Drosophila melanogaster: one gene and its partners. Changing the gene in region 3 together with the main gene of any one other region gives a genetic interaction. Each region holds a gene or a part of one and is shown on either strand. Other genes may lie near its edges.

What was found.
Region 1: of sc (region 3) and esg, changing one suppresses a phenotype caused by changing the other (phenotypic suppression), as found in Drosophila melanogaster (one study listed by BioGRID).
Region 2: of sc (region 3) and ato, changing one suppresses a phenotype caused by changing the other (phenotypic suppression), as found in Drosophila melanogaster (2 studies listed by BioGRID).
Region 4: of sc (region 3) and ed, changing one enhances a phenotype caused by changing the other (phenotypic enhancement), as found in Drosophila melanogaster (one study listed by BioGRID).

The regions. Positions count from the first base shown.
Region 1 is NT_033779.5:15,331,059-15,337,177, reverse strand, and holds esg (escargot), read right to left. Parts: upstream 3,313-6,119; 5' UTR 3,085-3,312; coding exon 1,672-3,084; 3' UTR 1,040-1,671; downstream 1-1,039. UniProt on the Drosophila melanogaster protein: Transcription factor that can both stimulate and repress transcription. Binds to the consensus DNA sequence 5'-A/GCAGGTG-3'.
Region 2 is NT_033777.3:8,276,053-8,280,673, reverse strand, and holds ato (atonal), read right to left. Parts: upstream 2,623-4,621; 5' UTR 2,549-2,622; coding exon 1,610-2,548; 3' UTR 1,400-1,609; downstream 1-1,399. UniProt on the Drosophila melanogaster protein: Developmental protein involved in neurogenesis. Required for the formation of chordotonal organs and photoreceptors. Seems to bind to E boxes. Specifically required for the photoreceptor R8 selection.
Region 3 is NC_004354.4:394,067-398,954, reverse strand, and holds sc (scute), read right to left. Parts: upstream 2,896-4,888; 5' UTR 2,779-2,895; coding exon 1,741-2,778; 3' UTR 1,458-1,740; downstream 1-1,457. UniProt on the Drosophila melanogaster protein: AS-C proteins are involved in the determination of the neuronal precursors in the peripheral nervous system and the central nervous system. Also involved in sex determination and dosage compensation.
Region 4 is NT_033779.5:4,028,808-4,034,763, reverse strand, and holds the start of ed (echinoid), read right to left. Parts: upstream 3,388-5,956; 5' UTR 3,209-3,387; intron 2,342-3,208; 5' UTR 2,089-2,341; coding exon 1,995-2,088; intron 1-1,994.

The DNA of each region.
Region 1 (6,119 bases), on a different chromosome or scaffold from region 3:
TCCCGATCCCCACACACATGTGTGCGCTATTTGTGGGCCTCTGGAGCAGGCTCTCCTCCGCCTGGCGATCGATTGATCTCGATAATGAGTTTCGTTTCGTTTCGTTTCATTTCGTTTGGCTTCAGAGGACGCACCCATAATTTCGTATGCTCTGTCACCCGAACGATACCTTACCGTACGATTATGATTTCCCTGCGCTTTTCCGCTTGGCTGGATACTGGTAGGCATCGATCACACTTGATGATCTCCGGGCCAAGACACTATTTTCACTGCTCTCTCATTAAGATCGCGTCTCATGTCTAATACGACTTTTTGGCCGGGGCGCGGGTCTACTGAGGCTTGAAGTTTGATTTAGTGACTGCCATTTTGTGCTCGCGTCGTACGTGCACCGAAATTTAAATACATACATATACATATGTAATTTATGATCAGTCTGCCAAAGAAAATGCGCCTTACGTTTGCTTCACTGGGCGGGCCATAAAATGTCGCGAATGGCTGGATTGGGTCGGCTCTTATTTTCCGATCCACTCAATTCGATTTGTTTATTTGTTCGAAGAAGAAGAACATGACCCAATAAAACCAAATATGTGGCGAACTCTGGAAGAGACCACTCACGATCATTCTAGATTCCATTGAACCTTCTGCCGGAAATAGGAATTGACTTTTAATTGAATGTGGACAATAGAAAATGTGGTCTAAGCATTCAACAGATAAATATTTAAAGGTTGTATATATGTACATTTAAATATGTCAAATATTACATTAGCTGACCAGAAATGTTATAAAGATTTAACCACTGAAGTTGATATGAAAATACCATGCTTAAATATGATTAAATTAACAATGTTTTGGCATATAGGAGTATCAAATTAAGACTGTTTCAAATATATGTATGGTATTGTTAACATAATTACCGTATATAGAAAAATAAAAGATTTTTTCTAAGTTTGTGTAGAACGACTTGCATATTATCCTGAAATAAAAAGGTCCCAAAGCCCACCCATTAATGAAATAAAAACGTTTTCAATGTTTTTTTTTTGTATGTAAATAAAATGTATTTCCTTCTTTCTTCGCTTGATGCAATAAATTACTTAGAATTACAAAACATTTTCGTATCAAAATATATGTATGTGTTGTTTGCTTATCTTCACTTAAGCTACAGTAGAACATTTTCAATGTGTACGCGAAAAAGTAGTGGTCATATCAAAAATAGTTTACGGTTTTTACAGCTAGGCTAAAAATACTATCGTATAAAATATAGAGATGTATGTCTTGCTTACGATTGATTGTCTGGCGTTTCATTTGTTCAGCTTAGAGTCTACAGTTAGACATAATACATTATGTACAGGATAAATCGAAGAATACTTTACAAAGTTCATCTTTAGGATATATTATGGGCACACATTTTAAAATGGTTCAAACTATTCAAATTGGTGGTGGTGGTTACAAAAATGTTGCCGGATTGTACAAATTAAAACGTAATTTTTAATTTTCTCTCTTCTGGGAGAAAATGCTGACTAGAAATTAAAAAACAAGTGAAATTCTGCTTGAAGTTGTGTGTCTGCACTGGGAGTTTCGGGAACTTGGAGCCGCCTAAGAGAGCTAGGAACTAATTTTTGGTGGAACATGGCTGGGATCTCAGCTATATAATGTATATATAAATATATTGCCTTACGGCTCGGCATAGCCGGCGTAGTTGAGTTCGCTGCTGCTGGAGGATCCTGCACTGCCGCCAGGACATCCGCCCTCTGAATGCTTGGTTAGGAGGGACATCCGCGAGAAGGTCTTCGAGCAACTGGTGCAGGAGTACTTCTTGATGTCCGAGTGGGTCTGCAGATGTGCTCGCAGATTCGAGCGATCTGCAAAGGCCCGGTGGCAATGCTGGCAACTGAAGGGCTTCTCTCCCGTATGAGTGCGAATGTGTCCTTGCAGCAGCCATGGTCGCGAGAAGGCCTTGCCGCACAGATTGCACTTGCAGGGCAACGTGTGGGTGCGAATGTGCATCTTGAGGGCACCCAACGAAACATAGGTCTTGTCACAATCCTTGCAGCTGAAGGACTTCTTCACCTGATTACCCTCGGCGGCCGGGCAATGGAACTGCTGATGTTTGGTCAGCCCGGAGAAGGTGGAGTAAGATTTCTGGCAATCCGGGCACTGGTAACGCGGCGGCTGGTTCTTGTCCTTCTTGGCGGAGGCATTCGGCATAGTTTCGGGCGACATATCCCCGGTTTTGGCTGCTGCTTGCTCTCCCGGCTGGCTAGTGTTTAGATTCAAGTTCAGGTTCTTGTGTTTCAGGGATAGATCCTCGGGCAGCGAGGAGCTGCAGCTGGATTCAGGCGTCATCGATCGCATGGAGTAGTAGGAATTCTCGGAATAAGCCGGCGAGATAGGCGCATGGTGATGATGGGTATGGGTATAGCCGCCCAAGCTCGGATAACCGGGCATCTGTGGATAGGGCAGGAAACGGTGCTGCCGCACGCCGATTGGTCTATGGATGATTTCAGATCTCATGGGCGGGGAAACGGAGCTTGCGCGACCATGAAGGTAATGATGTGGTGGCGGCGACAGGGAGCCCAGCGAGTCACTCGGCGAACTGGGCGCAATGAGATCGCCACGCAGCGGCAAAATCTGATGACCCTGCTGATTGATGGTCCTGTAGAACTCGGCGGTGTAGGGCGACATGTGGAAGTTGTTCCAGGGATATTTCGGGTATGTGGGCGTGGGCACAACCACGGAGGCGGCTGCAGCGGCGGCCACAGCTGCGGCAGCAGCTAAAGCCGCAGCCTGGGTCTGATTTGGGTCCGAGTCCACATCCACATCGACGTCCTCGTCCTCCTCCTCGATGTGTTCATCATCTGTATGATCTACATCCACACCCTCGTCCTCGCAACAATCGCTGACGTTGATCAGTTCCTCGGAGGGATTTTCCTCCAGAATTTCCATTTTCTTTACGCACAAATCCTGCGGCTCATTTGGGGTGTTACTGTGATTTTGAGGCGCCTCGAACTGGTAATTAACTGGGCGCTTTTTTAGCGGGCACTTGCTGTAGTTTTTCTCCACCAACATGTCTTCCACGGTATGCATTTTACTGGCTTTTTATTGATAGTTTACCGGAATTGTTGTAAAATGTTCTTAATTTTCGTCACTTTGTTTTCAGTGTGTCATGTTCACACAGGCACAAATACTCGATCGATGCACAAATACCAAACGCGTGTTCCGTTAAGCAAAGCGATTGAATATCGGTTATATTTCGGGTATATTGCGTTGGGAGAGATGGTTATGTGAATCGGTTAGAGTCTGGGAATAACTGAGCGAGTTTGGCGGTGGTGCGGCCTTTTTATACTGCCCCTGCACTCGGCACTCGGCTCATTACACGAAGCTGCCAAAAGAGAACGCTCTCTCGGGCGTTCCGCCGAGAGTATGCATGTTCATTCAGGTATATGCGTCGACCAATCGCGGCACTCGGCTAAACAGGTTTCGCCTTGTTTATGTAGAATTGCCTCACGTGCCGAACTCGTACACTTGCACCAATCGAAGCCGCAAACGAAGCGATGCCGTTATATTTGCTCTAGTGTGGGCCATATATTCAAATATGTTTACCTGTGTGCATCGTGCTCTCCGCAGCTGCTCTCTCTCGTCCTCTCTGCATTTGCATTCAATGCGCAATAAGGAGATCTATGATCTTACCTAGAAATTTAACTAGAAATTCGAAAAACCCCACTTTTGGAGGATTAGCGAACAAGGGTTTCCTTTTACCTCATTATCATTATCAGGTGCATCATTAGTTGACTTAATAACTGAAACGCAAAAAACATGGGCAGGTACCCAACATAAAATACTAACATTTTTAGGACACAGGGCGATGCATTAATGAGCAGGTAGACTTCTGCATCAATAAAATGTTTTTTGGCAGGAGAAAGGAGTGAACGTAGTAATTGTAGTCACTAAATTTGTTTATTAACAAGTATGTTATTGTACGGAATCAAAAGTAACCAATATTCAATCGATTTTGCGTAAAAAGTTTTAGAAATATTGTATTCCCCGTTTATAAGTAAACAATATTAAATATATTAACATCTTTCATTATGGATCCTTAGGAATATTTATAATAAATTAATAGCTTTACTACTTCGGCGTACTAATATGATTATTCTGTAATTCATCATTAGATAATGATATAGAATTTTTTTCTGCGGGCATGTTCCGGTAATCGAATTGGCGAGAATTTTACGACTTGGATTTGATTCGATTTTGTCCAAATACCCAGAAAAAATTTTAAAAAAATAGGAAAATTTCTCAGAAATACAATACGGTAAATATACAACTAGAACGTTTAGAAAGAGCCAAGCTAAAATTCAGTACGAAAAAGAGCATAAGCATTCTCTTTAAGCCAATTGCTTCTCTTCACTCTCACTGTTTCGATTCCACTTTGTTTCTGTTTCGCTCTCGAAATTTTCTCTTCGATTTGAAAAACGTTTGAGGCGCCAAAGCCACTAAAGGCTGAATTGTACCTTTTTGACAAAACGGAGAGAGATATTTAGTTTCTGTTTTTTTTTTTATTGGGTAACACTAGGCTATATCTTTACGATACCAAAAATTGTGGGCGTGGTCCGCCCCTTATATTTAATTTTGTTACCAAAATAAATACATATCTTTTAAGTAAAAAGACATTTTTGGGATCAATTTTTGATTTGTACTCTTAATAGGCCTTCTTCTTGCAAAGTTAAGCAAACTTTGGTTAAGCAAACTTTGTAAAGGCACCTCTGCTTTCGTGCCAGACACTAAAGAATTATTTAATCGGCAATCTTTCTTTTTATTTGCAGCACGAGGAAAAAATGTTTATTTTTTGTTAACTCCCTAATATATTGTTCTTTGTTACATTTTGATCTAAAATAAGGGAAATGCACGTCGTTGGCAGACATTTTCTCCGCGACATGCTGATTTATTAATGAAATTTTGGCTTTCTCAGGGGATTTCTCGATTAATAATTTAATATTCCCTGCCGTCGATTATGTTAACCGTGCGGGATTTTTTTTTTTTTTAAATTTCTGGTACGCAACACTAAAGTCTAATCTTATAATAACATAATGACGTAATCAAAACTTAATATTACGGACTTTTTTGGCCACAAAAAGGTACCTTTCAGCCTATAGTCCATAGAAGCGATTTCAAAATACACATATTTATGCGTTCTTGAGATTTGCGGGAGGGAAAGGATCCATGTAGTAAACAACTGGTAAACAATTAAGGAGCACGTCGAGATCCTCAAGTGGAAACCAGCACACACATGCACGCTCGACACGAAGTGGCAGATGTGTGGCAACAACACCCAAACAAACAAACAGCGAAAGTGTTCACCCGACAGATAAGATAGTAGGTGTGGCCCCCTCCTACCGACCGATGTCCAATGGCAGGACATAAATCAAAGGGAAGCAAACCACGCCAATTTCTGATCACTTACCTGGAATCACCGCAATACTGAAAACAAATTCATTTATTAAGGAAGAAAGTTATTTGTAATAGTTTTGCATAGAAATTAAATACGTTAAATGAAATACTAATTGTTAAACAACTAACATAAAAACTATAAGCATGCATGAAATTTCAGCATGTCAGTATAATGCTATACAGTTTACAACATATTTTTTTCAGTGTAGAAACCACACACAGTTGGCATTTAACTTAATTAGCGTTCTTATCAAGCATTTGTCCCTGTGGCAGGGCGACTGCTGTGCCTGTGAGGACTCCGATCCAGATGCAGATCACTCCGTTGCACAGTAATTCCCAGGAAGCAGACTATCCGGGCGCAAGTGCGATTCCACTGAGATTGCCAAACGAGGAACCCAAAAACCGCCAGCATAAATTAATAGATAAACATGTGCAATTCTACAGGACAGGTTCGAGTTTGGCGGCCAGTGATGACCATCTGGATTATTTTTCTTCCAGTCGATTACCTTTAATCAATACATATTAATAAATAAATACATATTAATATTTCTCAAAAATATTTATTTTAAAATATAATAATTAGAATTTTGACATTTAATTATATTGCTTCCAAAAATACCTTTTAATAAAATAAGAATAAAATATAAATTTAATAATAGCTAGTTTTTGGA
Region 2 (4,621 bases), on a different chromosome or scaffold from region 3:
AATTGACAAATTGACGGCAGCGCTTTGTGCGGAAGCGTTCAAAGCCGTAAATTGTCGCTAACAAGAGCGACACTCCAGGGATATCGGCAGGATATCGCCTTTATGCCTCGCATTCGCGCCTATACAAATATAATTGCCTCAGCCGCTGGAAAAGACGCCTGGGGAGACGCCCGCACCTCGCGATCACTAAATTAAGTCATTAACAATTTAACGAAGCCCTGTCGATGCCGCGCTGCCGCTTAACTAATTATGTGAATTTCCTTTTGATTATGTGCCCCGAAATCCGTGCAGCTTTTGCGGCGACGCCCGAAAATGATTTTGCAAAACAAACAGTAACAGCCCACGAAATCCGGTCGCTGCCACGCCCCCACCCTCGCTAGCCGCCACCGAGCGCTCCAATTCCCATGCGGGAGTCGATCGAATCGCCGGCACTCGGGCGTTGCTGTCGCTATCAACAAATTGGCTTCGAATCTTACGAATGATTGACTGACTGACTGAATGACTGACTGACTGGGCCGGGGATCTCTGCTCCGTTTTAAGCTGAATGATATGTTGCACTGCCAGAAATCGTCATAGGATTTATTTATTCAACAGATCCAAAAATATCATCCATCTAATATCACTAAATAATATATTTAATTATATTTTAAAGGGAATGAATTCTGTGTAGAACTAACTATAAAGGTTTGCTTTGATCCTATCTTGTACTATATACATTTTATTATATTACCTTAAATAATATTATTTATTACATTAACTTATTGAACAAAACTTCTTCAACACCTTCTTGTTTTGCTGAGTGCACAGTTTCGGCTTAAAGTCTTAAGCCGCTGAGTTTATCCGCCAACAACGATCGGGGATCGAACTTCGTATTAAACGATTTGTGAGTGGCGCTTGATTTTCGGGGCTCGACTGGGACTTCCACTGGGATATGAAGTTGCAGAGGTTCCAGGGACAGCGACGGACAAATGGACATACGGACAAGCGGACATACGGACATTGCATGCGACCTGCGACTGCTGAAAGCAGATCAGCCCAACACTTAACTTAATTTGGCAGCTACAGTCCGGCGCGCCGTGCCGTGTAATTATCGTCCGCTGCGTATTTGTTTTGGCCAACCCGATTAAGAGGGGCCCTAATTTTGTCGAACTGTCTACAAATTGATCGCGAAGCGCCAAATCGATCACCTTCCCCCATATAATAAAGTCCAATTCACTGTGTGAGAATTGATGCCCCGCCGATAAGTGTGGATATCGAGGATTGGGGAAACAGAATTGTTCAGAGATGAAAGGATTTGGATGGCTTGGAATTTTTGTATTTATCATTTTGCATCTAGGAATTGTTGCATAGCTACTAAAACTGTTAGAAAGTCCCCGTTAACAAAAAACGAACATATGTTTTAAATTATTAATGGTGCTTTTATTTTGTCTTCCTTAGTCTTAATCATTGTCTTCCATTTAGGCTAATTAACTAAACAATAAACAGCATAATACTTAAGCGGTAATTCACTACTGGGCTCCAGGCAATATATACAAAGTAGCTACAACATTTGGCAAGCTCCAACAATAACTGAGAATAGTACTTGGGACTGGGATCGGGATCCGGGAATTCAGCGCAGCAGATCCCCGAGAGCGGATATGTAGGTCTGGGCCATTTGGAGGGTCTCGTGTTTGGACAGCTGGCGATCGTTTCCCAGACAGGGAAGGTACTGGCGGAGACGATCGAAGGCCTGGTTGAGGTTCTGCATCCGACGACGCTCACGTGCATTGGCGGCCAGGCGACGCTTCCTCTTCACGACGGGTGTGATCTGCTTGCCACGCCTCTTCTTTCCAGAGCCTCCGGCAGCGGCATCTTGGTTCTCACCATCGGCCAAGTCAAAGGATCCATCATTGCCATCGAAGTCCTCACCGCCACTGAAGAGCATGAGGTCCTCGTCATCCTCGACGCTGTCATCGAACAAGGCGGAGTTGTCAAAGTCAAAGTTCTGGAACTCCTCCGTGTAGAGATTCACTGAGGCAGATGACTCCGCAGCTGCAGTCGGTGTGGAGGTGGCGGTGGTGCTTGGCTGGTTCTTCTTGGTATAGCTACGCTTCGGTTTCGGACCTGCTGAGGCTGGAATCGTTTTGCAAGTGCCCACGTTGGAGGAGCCCATGACCTCCACTGCCGGAGGAGAGGCCACTGGAATTGCAGGCGCTGTGGAAACAACAGACTGCTCCATAATCATTCCGTATTGTTGGTTCTGGGCCATGTTGTTGCAGCCTCCATTGTACATGGTATTGAGATCCACATACTCGGGACTCTCAGATCGGTGGCTAGCCGGCGAGGAGGAGATCCAGCCATCGGAACTGGCCTGCTCGAAGCTGATGAAGCCATTGGCCGACAAGTAGTTGCTGCTGCTGGCCAGGGTGTTGCCATTGAACTGGTAGTGGGTCACGCCGGGATTGTAGGCTGCCATGGGATTGAAGTACGGCTCGGCGGCGGCTGTCTTGAAGCCCTGCAAGTCCTCGGAGGTCTTGTAGTAGTAGCGATAGATCTCACTGGACGACATGTTGCTGCTGCTGTATGGTGGTGTTATGTTGCTGGATGAAACGATACGAACGCTGCGAGTGCTGGCGGGTTTCTGACTGGTCTCTCGTCCTTTCGGCCCTATTTATACTCACAAATCCACCACGACGGTCAGAAGGGCCTGAAAGGCAGGTAGGGGGGCAGGTAAACGAGTTGCCACAGAAGGCAGCACGTGCCGCCCGAGTGGCACGACCAATGGCAGTTGGTGGTGAGTTGCAGCGGTCTCAGAGAGCCCGGTTATACCTCAGTTCGTTGCGAGCTTAAAATGGCGCTAGAAAACCGACTATCTGGGCATCTAAAGCCGCTAACAAGATGATTATAGGATGGCCGGCACAACCGGAACAGGAATATGGGCGGAAATGTAAACAGAACTTGGACAAACAATCGATTTGAATCCCTAAACGGGATTAAAGTCGACCGCAAAGCGAAGCGAAATTTGCAAAAATCCCTTGGCGATTTGTCAGCACCAAATGGCAGAGCGGGTCTTATGAGTTTATCTAATCTGCATCGGTTGCAAGTGGGTTCGATCTACCTGATCACGGCTAGGGAAATCCTTACAAATCCACCGCCGCCGGGTCATTCGACATGCTTACCCAAAGTCGGGGGCGGAATATCGCAATGAAAAATCTTGTTTATTACAACTTGGCAAATTTTCCAATTGATACGCTTGTTGCCGGTACCATGAAGAAGGTAGATGATAGCGCCGGCCCTTCAAGGACACGCTTGACCGAGTGCCAGGACTGACCTTCACCTTAGCCCTCGTCGTGCCTAATAAGCGTGGCAGGCAGTAACTAAGAGCTGGGTTAACATTTTAGCGCCTTGCAATTAATACGGCCGTGTGTTCGATCGTGAGCAGGGAATTTAGTTGTAGATCCCAGGATGACACAGCAAAACGAAGCGTCCACGGTGGTCCTTAGATCCCTTCGCTACGCCCCTTAATCCTTAATGATTCGCTGGAAATCATAATGCAACGAATTCTACATCAACCACTTGCGGGGGAGTGTTCGGGCATCTTTGAAGTTCCGCGGCCACCCAGTCGCACAACTAGTAGCACGCCCCAAAGGATCTGATCTTTTTGCCGGGCAATAAAAACGCTGTCAATTAGATAAAAATGTCACACAACAAACCGCACCAAGAGCGGCACCACCAATTTATTGGACGCACACAGGCATGTTTGACCTTTTGTCCACCCCTGAGAGACCTCGAATGTCCTGAACGTCCCTCGTGAATGTCCTTCCATGCAATTTACGAGCCACTTGCCGCAACAGACAGTAGTTACACCTGCAATATGTACCTGTGCAGATCGTATCCCTCGGATTGCATCTCCGCTGTAAAGTTTTTCGCTTATCGGCATTAGCCGATGTCAAGGCATCCGCTGCATATCGATTGGGAAATTTACATTTTCATTGCCGCATCGCAATATGCACGTGCTGCCAGTCGAGGGGGCAAAAAGGGTCATTCCAAGTCAAGTCGAGTTCTTTTTTCGCCAATGGTCGGCATCGGGCGCCTTGCGTGCCTGTCAGTTATCGAGTGGCTGATCCCTCACATCGGACCCACATACCTTATGAGTACCAGTACCTCCAATACCTCAGCTCCAGCTCATTGGCATCAATACGCTGGTAACGGGCCACTTCTTTCATGTCAATATGCATAAATGCAACTTGGCCATCGATGGGAATGCAACTGATGTGGAGCAGCTTCCAGAAAGCGCATGACAAAGCCAATTGAATGGGTATGAATCTGCTTGGGTGAAACATGAAACACTCTTGTAGTCATATCCAAATCATATTCTTATATTATCCTAGAAAAACCAACCTGTATATTCTTGAGTGTAATATAATATGGTGAATGTTATAATTGTATATTGGGTTTTTTACTAAACTCTCAAATCATGTATTAGTTACTTAGGCCATTAAACTATTGACGCAGTAACTAAATTAATTTAGTTATTTTCTACATTTTGTTAAGTAACCAAATTGCTGACTAGCCGGCCTAATTCAGTATACTCTTTCCAGGACTCTCTTCGGCATGAGGAACGTGTAGGCGCAAGAGATGC
Region 3 (4,888 bases):
GATATTAACCGAATAAACCTATGTTTGAAAAGAGTATAAGAGTATATTCTATATTCCAAAATCCATCTTTGTATTTTTTATTTTGGAGTTTTCTTGTTTGCCATTCTTCGTTTTTTCTGTTGGCTATCAGGCCGTTTGCATCGCGCCTGCGGTGTAAGAATAAATGCTTCAAGTAACAACTTCGTAAAGAGCTGAATTATGAGCTTAGCTGCGACTTAAAACTGCTTTTTTAGCCATCAATCTGCCGTCCTTAGTCCTCGAAACTTTGGGCGAGCCTATAATTTGGTCAAATATCTGGGGTCTGATTAATGCAGGCGGCTGGTTTTTTGTACCACAATGTTGCTGGCCTGGGCGCCGAGAAATCTATTAAACTACGCTTTTAAATCAGAACCAAATAAAATAAAAAACGCAGCTGAAAAAAAGGTTGCCTTTCTTTAGATTCTTTAGGAAAGGTGAAAGTTCTTCCGGAGCTGAACGTTAAGCCTTGCCTACAGAGTCTCGCAAAAGAAAATAATGGTATTCCAGAACCCATTTTCATGATTCGAAACAATTGCATTGAGTTGTCAAGTGTCAGCGTTGACATTGAAAGAAAAGATCCCCTATCCCTTATCACTTCCTTTGGAGCATCCAGCGATCCTAAGGACAATGAGGTCCTTTGTCTGTGATGCCCTTTAATGTGTCAAAATATAGTCTATAGTCGCATTCTCCCATGCGTTTGTTTTTCTAATGCAACGTGATTTATTGTCTGGCCAGTGGAAGAGGTTTATTCCAACGGACTGACATCTCAACGGTGCGTGGGAGTGAAGAACTTAGTTATTGTTTGGGGTAAGGTGTTTGCATTTAACTTTTTCAGAAGTGTAAAAAGTGGGTAAAATACTTTTTTGTAAGGCCGTACATTATAGGGAATACTAGGAACTATAGTTAAGCTGAGCAAATTCAAAAGAAAAAGTCTTAAAAGTGTTGATCGGGTTAAAACTACCTCACTTTATATATTTAAGTAGTAATGTATACATAAATACGAACTCCTCTTATATTGAATAAATTGTAAATTGCTTTTTCGACACTTTTCCTTTTTTAAGTTCAATATCTGATCTGAATTTCAAAGTCGTAATTGTAAAACTAGTAACCTTTTAAACTAGTAACCTCGTGGCACGTGTCACAGGTGTCATCGTCTTACCTGCGATAATTTGACATTCTTAGAAACTACCTGAAGAAATAGGAAACTACTGGTCTAAAACCAAATACTGATCTATGTTTTGCGTTATCTGTAATTCGTATTAATGATTTTTGGATATAAGAGTGATTTTGTAAAACCAATGCAAAGCAACCTTAATTGTACATAACGGCTGCACATGGTCCCATCGGCACTGCAAGGCAATGCAAGTAGTACCCGAATGTTTTACAAACCTGATCAATAGATGGATCCCCTTTGAGAAAAGAACTTAAATATGATTTTTCGTTTAATTTTTTCATTTTATTTTTCCACCAAAAACTAATTAACATAAAATTGTATTAGCAAAAAAATATGTTTTCGTTTCCATGCTATAGTTATTTCATAAATATATAAATTTGAAACTGGTCTCGTGGTTCTTAACAATGTAAAAAAATAGCTTAAAGTAAGAAAAAAAAATTGGGGGTATGTTGTTTTTGTATTAGTGTTATTTACAATTTGAGGCACTTGGTTCAACTCAACATTGACTAGAAGAAAATAGGGCGTGGTGGTAAATTTTGGGGATTAAGTCACTGCTCCTGCCATAGAGAGATGTAGTCCAAAATCTCCTCGTCGTCGGGGGTGCAGTCCTCCTCGTCTAATTGAAAATGTTCGTACGGTTCAAATTTTAGCTGAAGTTGGGAGTGCGTGTGTAATTCGTTGTCCAGATGATCCAGACGATCCAGGTGGGTGGATATTTGTTGGGGAACTCCTTCGTAGGTGCCTGAATCAAAGGACATGCTGGAGTTGAATGATGATGTTGGCGAGTGGCAGGTTTGCTGGTTTTTGCTGGTGGATACGCATCCTGCATCTCCACCTGGTACGGATGTGCCCACCAAGTTGGTATTTAATGAGAGCGCTGTCAGCGGTTGGTGATTGAACTGCTGCCTCTGTAGCTGCTGCTGTTGTTGCAGAGGACTGACAGAGATCGTGTTTTGATAGTAGGTATTATGCCCTGAGGAACTGCAAGTACTGCTGCTCGAACTGTGACTGCTGGACTCATCCAAACAAAGTTGAAGCTGGGTGACTGCATTGTTGGCACCAATATTGCTGCCCCCATTTAGGTCATCCACCAGATCCTGAAGCCTCCGGATGTACTCGACGGCAATGCGCAGTGTGTCTACTTTGGAGATCTTTTTGTGAGGTCCTCGACCACCACCCTTTGTCAAATCCGTGATTATGGATTGTGGTATATGTTGCCGCAACCTGGCGAAGCTGTTGTTCACCTGCTTTACACGATTTCGTTCTCTAGCATTGCGCCTTTGGACCGACTGGGATTGGTCTACATTATATGGAGCCGGCGAGGAACCAGGCGATAGAGATGATACTGATTCAGAGCATCTGGTCAGTGCCATACCCCTTGGTGTATACTTGCGAGTCTTAATTGGCATTGTGCCAGCGGGTTGATTTTGATTGCCACCGGGAATTAATGGACTAGGGGCTGGCATTATGTGCTGATAACGAAAGATCTTCGTTGCCGAATTGATGGTCGTTGGAAACGTTTCGTTGGTGGACAGCACACTCGATGACATGGTAGTGCTTTTCGTTGTATTATTATTATTTTTCATTAACACACTCGGAGCTTTCTTTAACTTTCCGGATAACGATCAACAGAAAAAAATAAATGAACAGAGTACAATACTTGAACTTGATCGTTTGACACCTTACACAAGAATGAGTCCCTTCGTCCTAAACCCTCGCGTTATGTACCCTTTATGCAACTCTCTGCACAACACTCAGGCAGAGAAACGGGCGAGAGAATCGGAGAGAAAGAGAGAGAGAGAGTGACGGCAAGAGCTACCTGCACAGGTAGGGAACTCGAAGTGAGTGAGCCACAGGTAGTCTCTCTCTCTTTCTCTGTCTCAGGTACTCGAGTATCCCACAGGAAAACTGTTCTCACTCGACAGTCCAAAAGAAACACTCAAATTTTAAACTCAAAATATCAACTCGAAATATCGAAAAACGATCAAGGTATCTGAGTGAGGGCTCTTTTTGCTACGGCACGCCAGCAATTTGATTTCTGTGTTAATTAACTTAGCAAAAGTCGCGATCGCCAATTTTATGTGCAGCTCACGCACGCTTCTATTCATTAGCGCCGGACGGATCCAAGGGATCGACAGAAGATCCTGGGATCCTCCTTATTAGACATTCGGAGTACGCTCCCTAAAGGTGTTCAAACAATTTCACTTATTTCTCCAATTAAATTATCAAAAGGATCACAATTTTTTGTTAAGTAAATCAAAGGGATGTGACACAAGTTCTAGAAGGAAGTTTGCAGTGAAAACTGCGGTTCTTTGTTTGTGGCTACTTGTGTTTTTTCTAGAACTACTGGGATGTTGCTTTAAATATATTAATTTGTTTGGGAATAATTTAGTTCTGGGTTTGATTAAATGTTCACACATTTGACTTTTAACGGTGTATACTTGTTATTTGTTCTATTACATAATGCGGTCTAAGGTAAAGAAATACTAGACATACATGAAGTTTCATACATCTTCTTTGAAATAATAAATTGATTATTTCAGACTGTTGTAACTTGCCATTGGCCACTGTGTCGTGCTAAACGGCGACTGTAAATTGTAACTTCCGCTCTGTTCACAAAAATCGGTTCATTTTGTCACGATCATCAATCGATGAGCGAGTGAAAAGATGCCAAATCGGCGACCAGGTGTAATATTTTTATTGTCCTCAACTCGTTACCCTCGTTTGCTTCTGCCAGCATTTTTCTTTTGCCAAATCATCAGCAATAGCACTTCTTCACTTCTATTTGGCAAATTTTAGATCCCCGGATCCCAAAATCAAAAACCGAATCCGAAACCAAAACCAAAGCGAAAACCGAAATCCTGATAACAAAAAAACCTTTTCAACCATGACCAGCAAACGGCGCTTCTCTGTGTTGTTCCTATAAATAAAATCCTTTCACCATTTCCAATACCTTTTTTGCATGCTGAACTTCGCTTGGAGTCTCCACTCTTTAGTTTTTGCATTGTAACGGAGGGATCGGTAGTTGGTTTCCATTATTTTACCATCATTAACACTATCATTGTTCTTGAGTGTTGCAGAAATTTTGGCAGCACAATGTTCTATTTAAATTTTCGCATTTTCCAAAATTCCATTGAAGCATTTTAATAAATGGTTGGGAGAAATGCCGGTGACATGCCTAGAATAGGGTTGAAGTCGTCATTAGAAACTCCACTCAGTGAACTGTGTGATCTATGGTGTATGCGGACATTTAACTGAAGTGGAATGCATATAATGCATATACGCGATCCTTTTTTCCTTGAAGCGGAGAGTCATAAGCAAGGTTGGTATAATCGCGTGTTCGGTACAATTGATTAATCATAGGTCCAATTCCGGTCACCGCTTGCATGTAAATGCCACTCATACCTTGAACAAGCATTGGATATTACCTTCAAAATTATAGTACCTAGTGTAGGAATCTTTTAATTTTGAATGATTTAAATTTTATATTTCATAAATGCTTCATTTCCTTTAGTATATAATATTGTTAATTTAACTCTATCTTTGTGGAAGTCTTTTATATATTTTCGGAAACTTAATAATGTTTTTTTTATTATTTCGAAAGACTTGTTCTTCAGGAAAACCATCAGAAAGCAAGTTAAGTAACCTTTCGATGTTGTCCCGACAACCAGTAAACATTTTTTTCGGACTACCTTG
Region 4 (5,956 bases), on a different chromosome or scaffold from region 3:
AAAATGGCGGGGTAAGGTAACGTTTTAGGAGCGCAGGCATTTGGAAAAGCCAGGAAATGAAATGAATGTGGAAAACTCAAAGGGAAAGCGGCATGGAAATACAGGAAAAAGGGCGACAGTTAGCAGGTAGACAAACGAAAATAAAAACCAAAGGCAGACGAAATAAACATAAAAACCAAAGGAGACGCACACAAATTGTTGCAAACTGCCTTTCGAGCACTTCTTAAGCAATATCCTGTGCTGCTCCTTGAGCATTTTACTGTACACACAACGGCACCGGGGATTTTCCAAGGAAAACTCAACCAAATTGGAATGCACTTCAAGGATCAACAGGATAAATGTGCTGACAATCAAGTAGATGGTGTGGGAAAAAGACACAAGACATGGCTAAAAATAAATCATGGAAGGGGCGTTTTGGAAAATGTTGGTTTATTTAAATAAATATTTAAATATTTTTAAACTATTTATACATTACATATATAAGCACGAAACCGCTAAGGTTATTAGTTCAGCCCATTTGCACATTACCAAGTAATTATTATCCTAAGCCGCCAAAGGTCTTTAGTTTTCCACCATTCCTCGTTGCTAATCTTTTAATGCGTTTTTAATGTCTGATCCCTCCGATCCGCGTGCCTGTTTTAAATGTCAATTCCCTCTTGGCCACTGTCATCAAATCTAATAATGCCCCCGAGTGGAGCAATTCCCCAGAAGCTTGAGGCCTAAAAAGCCTCCATAGAGAGTTCATTGATTTCTCGTTTTTTTTTTCGGTCGGAGGCGTTGACAGTTAAAGCTTCAAAGACGACTTTTACGAGTAGTTCGTATAAAAGCGTTGGAAAACGCGTGTCAAAGGCCCAATTAAGATGTCAAATCAACACGTTTTGTTTATTAACTGATTGCACACACACAAAACACGAGCTGAAAACGCGGAGAGCGCCATAAAGTTAATGGTGCAATATATCTTTTGAGGGGGTTAAAAACTCAGAGGGACTAGCCCCCAACTAATCGCCAGACAAATTAATAAAAAGGAACTGGCTGCTCCCCTTTTCGACTTCCCTTGACCGATTTGCCCGATTGAGTGGATATAATTCACATTTAAATTTAGCCCCAGCCCCCCCCCTTTGCCGACTTTTCCAGGGGTTCTTTAAGTATTAAAAAGCATTTTGTAAGCAAAGCATTATGTGTGCGGAAGGGAAAAACTTTGCCGAAGCGTGCCAAACTAAAGTTTTTCCTATACTTATACCACTGTGTCCTCTCCCCCAGTTTTGCGCCCTTTATTTGTGACACAGTAAATATTCTTGCATAATAACAGCATTTCCTAACTGATGCGGAGCATCTGGAAAGTGGAAAATTATGCTGGAATTTTTAATTAAGACGATACTTATATCTTTCAGACTGTCAAGTGTGGATATAGACATAGTAAATACATGGTTAATCAGTTTTTTTCATGGAATATCGACTTTACTTTAGCTACCGATTCAATATCTTCCTAGTAAATGCTGCCAATTGACAGGAGCCAACAAAGGGGTGGGCTGCGGAAAATTGCGTGGAAAATTGGGGAGGCTTGGGTAGCAGATAAAAAACTTTACGCTGACGTCAAGCTGCAACAACCTAGATCAACAAAAAACTAAAGTGACGTCGCAAGGTGACAACAGCAAAGGCGACTTGAAAAAACAGGGGGAAAATGCCGGAGGAAAGTGGCGGAAAAAGGGGAGCTGTCATAAGCAGGGTATGTCAAGGGCGGAACCGAAACTTTTAATTGATTTGTGATATGCGTGTGCCGAACACAAAGAGTGAGCTAGCGAATAGATTGGGATTTATCGGGAGCTATCAATCTTACCACCGATAAACAAATGAACTCAAGTGATACCCCCTATAGATATTTAAGTTCTGGAATAATGCTCGAGAAAAGCTGGGTAATCTTCTTAGCAATTATATACATATATAACTCCATTGCAAACAAAAAGCTTCTTATCAAACGAACAAAGTAAACTTACCGATGAGAAAAAAGTTGCATATAGTCGTTGCTGCTCTCCTCGCACTCCTGCTATTGACTATTGCCGTCCCTTTCGTGGTAGTTTTTCGCCTCATTTTGTGACTATATTTTGAATATATTTTGTATATGTTTCTACTGTTTTTGCTTATCTTTGGGTGCTACTCTCAATTCCCTTTGCAAAAACAATTTTTGCTACTTTTGCTGGACTTCTTATTCCAATTCGCAGTTAGTGGTGTTGTTGCAACGCTCCATTGCGTTGGTTAATGTTTTTATGCTTTCGACGATATAGTATTTTTTATTTATTGCACACGAAACTTTGAACGGATAGCCGAAAACGAAGAAGAACAACTGAAAAGGGTTAAGAATGGTGTTGTTGATTAGAAATTGCTCGGCTTTGTGGGGTTAAGATGTTGTATGTGGTTCCACGGGCATTCTTGTTTTTTATTAGTTATTCAAGTGCAGTTTATGTTTATAATCCAAGTCCTTATGGCAGTTGTTGTATTATCACTAATTCTTTTAAGTTGTATCCATCCATTGTTTTTTTTTTTTCATAAATTTGCAATAATTAATAATATATTTTTTATTATTAATATATCAAAAAAATTTAACAGGTTTTTTTTACTTTGTTTAAGTTTTCTTTTTCATCTCATTTATCCATATCTTTGCTTCGCCTTTATCTACCTCTCCTTTTTCACAGTTATAACTGCATTTATGCTTCACACTTTTTCGTGCTTGTTGTTGCTTTAGAGTTGCAACATGTTTTTATTGCTTTTGTTGTACTTTTGAGCAGGTAAGAAAATCACTTAAAAGGTTTCCAAGAAACACACCAATACACGTTATACACACAATCACACGCACGCATACACATACACACGAAATGGACGCTAAACCTGTTTCCCAGGTAAATCGGTAAAGATGTGCGAGTGCGAGGGGGACAGAGCGATCGTCAGAGATCGTGGATAAAACGGGAGGGAGGGAGCGAGATAGAGATGACGCAGATGCTGCGTTTTTTTCTTATTTATCTTAGCTTCGTTTCCTTTTCTTAAAGTTTTAACTGTTGTTTATTCGAAATAAATCTATTATTTTGTATTTATTGTTGCTTGCTTGCATTGTTTTGATTTTGTATACCGTTGCTTTTGGTCTTTCCACTGCCACTGAAACCACACACACACATACACTGTGCACAGTAATTTTGTATAAATTTCAATTTTATACCTCAAATTTAGTATATTTTCTGCGTTTTACCCAATAAATTGGGACTGTTGTTGTTGCTGCTGCTGAGTTGTTGTTCGCACACACGCGGAAATCGACGAAAAACGCGGCGGGAAATTCAGACAACGCGCGCTCACTTTTCCACGAAGCGTTCGATCCGAAATGGGAAAACACACAGAGAAAGGGAAACGAAAATTTGAGCCGCAGCCGCAAAATTCAAGTTCCACAACACAGTCCGCACAAGTTCGAGTCGAACGCGTTTGATGAGAGCCGTTAACAGCGCTGTTAAGTTAAGCTAACATGTTTGACTCGACTTTTATTAAGAGAACATAATAGCGAATTTCTCTTAAGTTTGATTATATTCAGAAAACAAATAATAAATGTTGCCTTTATATTTTAGGCATGTAATGTTTTCAACAAAAGAACCAATAAATTTGAAATAATTTTAAAATTGTTTTTAAGTTTAAATCATCATGTAGTTTCTTTTATATGTAACTTTTAAGGAGAAGTAAACCCATTTTGGAAAAAAAATTGTTTCATTTGGTTTTAAAAACATTGTATGCGTATTTATATATTTTATATTTTTTTCGTCGATAACGGACCCAAATGGTGAAAATGAGCCTAAGGCAGCAACGAATAGAAGCAATTTTGTATGGAAATTCAATTTGCCTTTAGCAACATGTTGCATTTTCCTAGAGGTTTTGAGTGCCTTTTTCCAAGAAAACTCGTTTCTTTGGCCAACAAGAAAAACCAGTCGGGAAATTAGTCAAGAAAAATATAAATAAGAAAAGCCAGCAACAAGTTGGTTTTAAACCAGAGGGAATGGTATAGTCGAGTTTCTCGACTATCAGATACCCGTTACTCAGCTAGTGAAAATGCGAATGCGAAATGCGAAAGTGTTAGAAAGTGTGTTGCTAAATCGATTCGGCTATTGTTCCTGATCCTGAATATATATACTTTATAAAGTTGGAAACGCTTCCTTCTGCCTGTTACATACTTTTCAACGAATTAAGTATACCCTTTAACTGTACGAGTGACGGGTATAAGAGTGGTGCGAAAGGTGCGGCGATAGTGTACATGCAACAAGTTCGAGCTTGAAGGCAAGTAAACTTCGTTAAGTTCGCACATAGCTATGTCCATCTCTTTCGCACCCCCTGTAGCGATCTACATTAAACCAGTTATCTTAAGAGTTTGTGAAGAGACCTCCTTCCTCTTGCACACCTCAAGTAAACCCGTTTTCTAAAAAACACGTTATATTCGAGACGAAAACCTCACTGCTACGACACTCAGCAGCTTAAACCTTTCTTAGACTTTTTTATGACCACACCCACGAGCCAGGTTACAAAAAAAAACTTAAAATTGTTTGTACTTTCAAATAACAATTATACCGTATATAGTATAGTATAGATAGTGTTTAGATTATCCACTAAAATCAGTACGCAATTGTTATAATTTACCCAAACAGTAGCACTAAGTCTTGGTATTATGTAGGGTTTTTTCTTCTTTTTTTCTTTTGAGAAATACCGCGAATGATTGATTTTTTCCGCTTTGTTTCTGAGCAGCTGAAGTGGCTCTGCATATTCAATATTTTTATTTAGCAGTCATGCCACGCGCTTTGCATAATGAATGCATAGGACTTACAAGCAGCCCAAGAATGGTAAATAATTTTAAAACAGATTTTCTGCTCGTTCTGTCTGTTCTGTCGTCGCTGTTCAATGTTTATTGAATTTTTGATTTGGGCCCCAAGGTGATTTCTCCTCATCATAAAACGCCGGACATGTCCCGCTACTAAAGACGCATACAAATGACCTTTGGGTTGGCGGGCTGGCCCCGCCCCCATTTCCCTCAGGTGAAAAGACGACTAGACAACACAACCACTCCCCCCCCCCCATTTTTTTCTTCCTTCCCTCGCTAGGAGCACACGAAAATCCAGCTTAATTATCCCTATCCCTTGCTTAATGTTGCTGTTTACTCGTAGATCCTGGTAATTTCCTTAGCATTACTTTCCTTGCATATTAATCGCCATAAATTTGGGTTAAAATATGTATTAACCATAGGGACAGTCACGGATAAACATTTTTCTACTTCCGTAGCTTTATAGATTACAAATACAACTCTTCTCCCTAAAATCGATTTCAATTTTCATTACTTGATATCTACGACTTCTTCTGAAAAGAGAGGCTTAGATGAGGAAGTCTATATGAAACTCAACTCTTAATTTGAAAAAAAAAAACATTTTCAGAATCACGATGAAGATTAAGAAGAAGGAGTTGAATTTCAAAAAGAAACTGGCTGGCAAAATTAAGAACCCACAACATGATCTGCGGTTTTGAAGACTGCTTGAATTACAAGTGAATTAAAGTTAATACATATATAAAAAATAAGAATAAAAAATAAGTAAAGTTGTAGGCGCATAAGATGAAAACAAAAAATAAAAGCAGGTAATAAACAAGACAACAACAAGAAGCACAAAAAAAAGGTACAATAAGAATATCCATGAAGAAGACGAAATAAAGTGGAAGATGAGAAAGAGAGACAGAGAGAGAAGGAGCAATTCTTCTACCTAAGCAACTTCTTGTTTTTTACCTTCTTATTCTCCTTTTGCCTACCACTTCTTGTTGCACTCACTCCATGTAATAAAAATTGGTAAGAAGTGATGGCGAGGGGTAAGAGAGTTGCGCCAGTTGAGAGAGAAAGAGAGCGAAGCACTATGAGTGAGTGAGATGGAACAGCACTGTCAGTCAAGTTCAA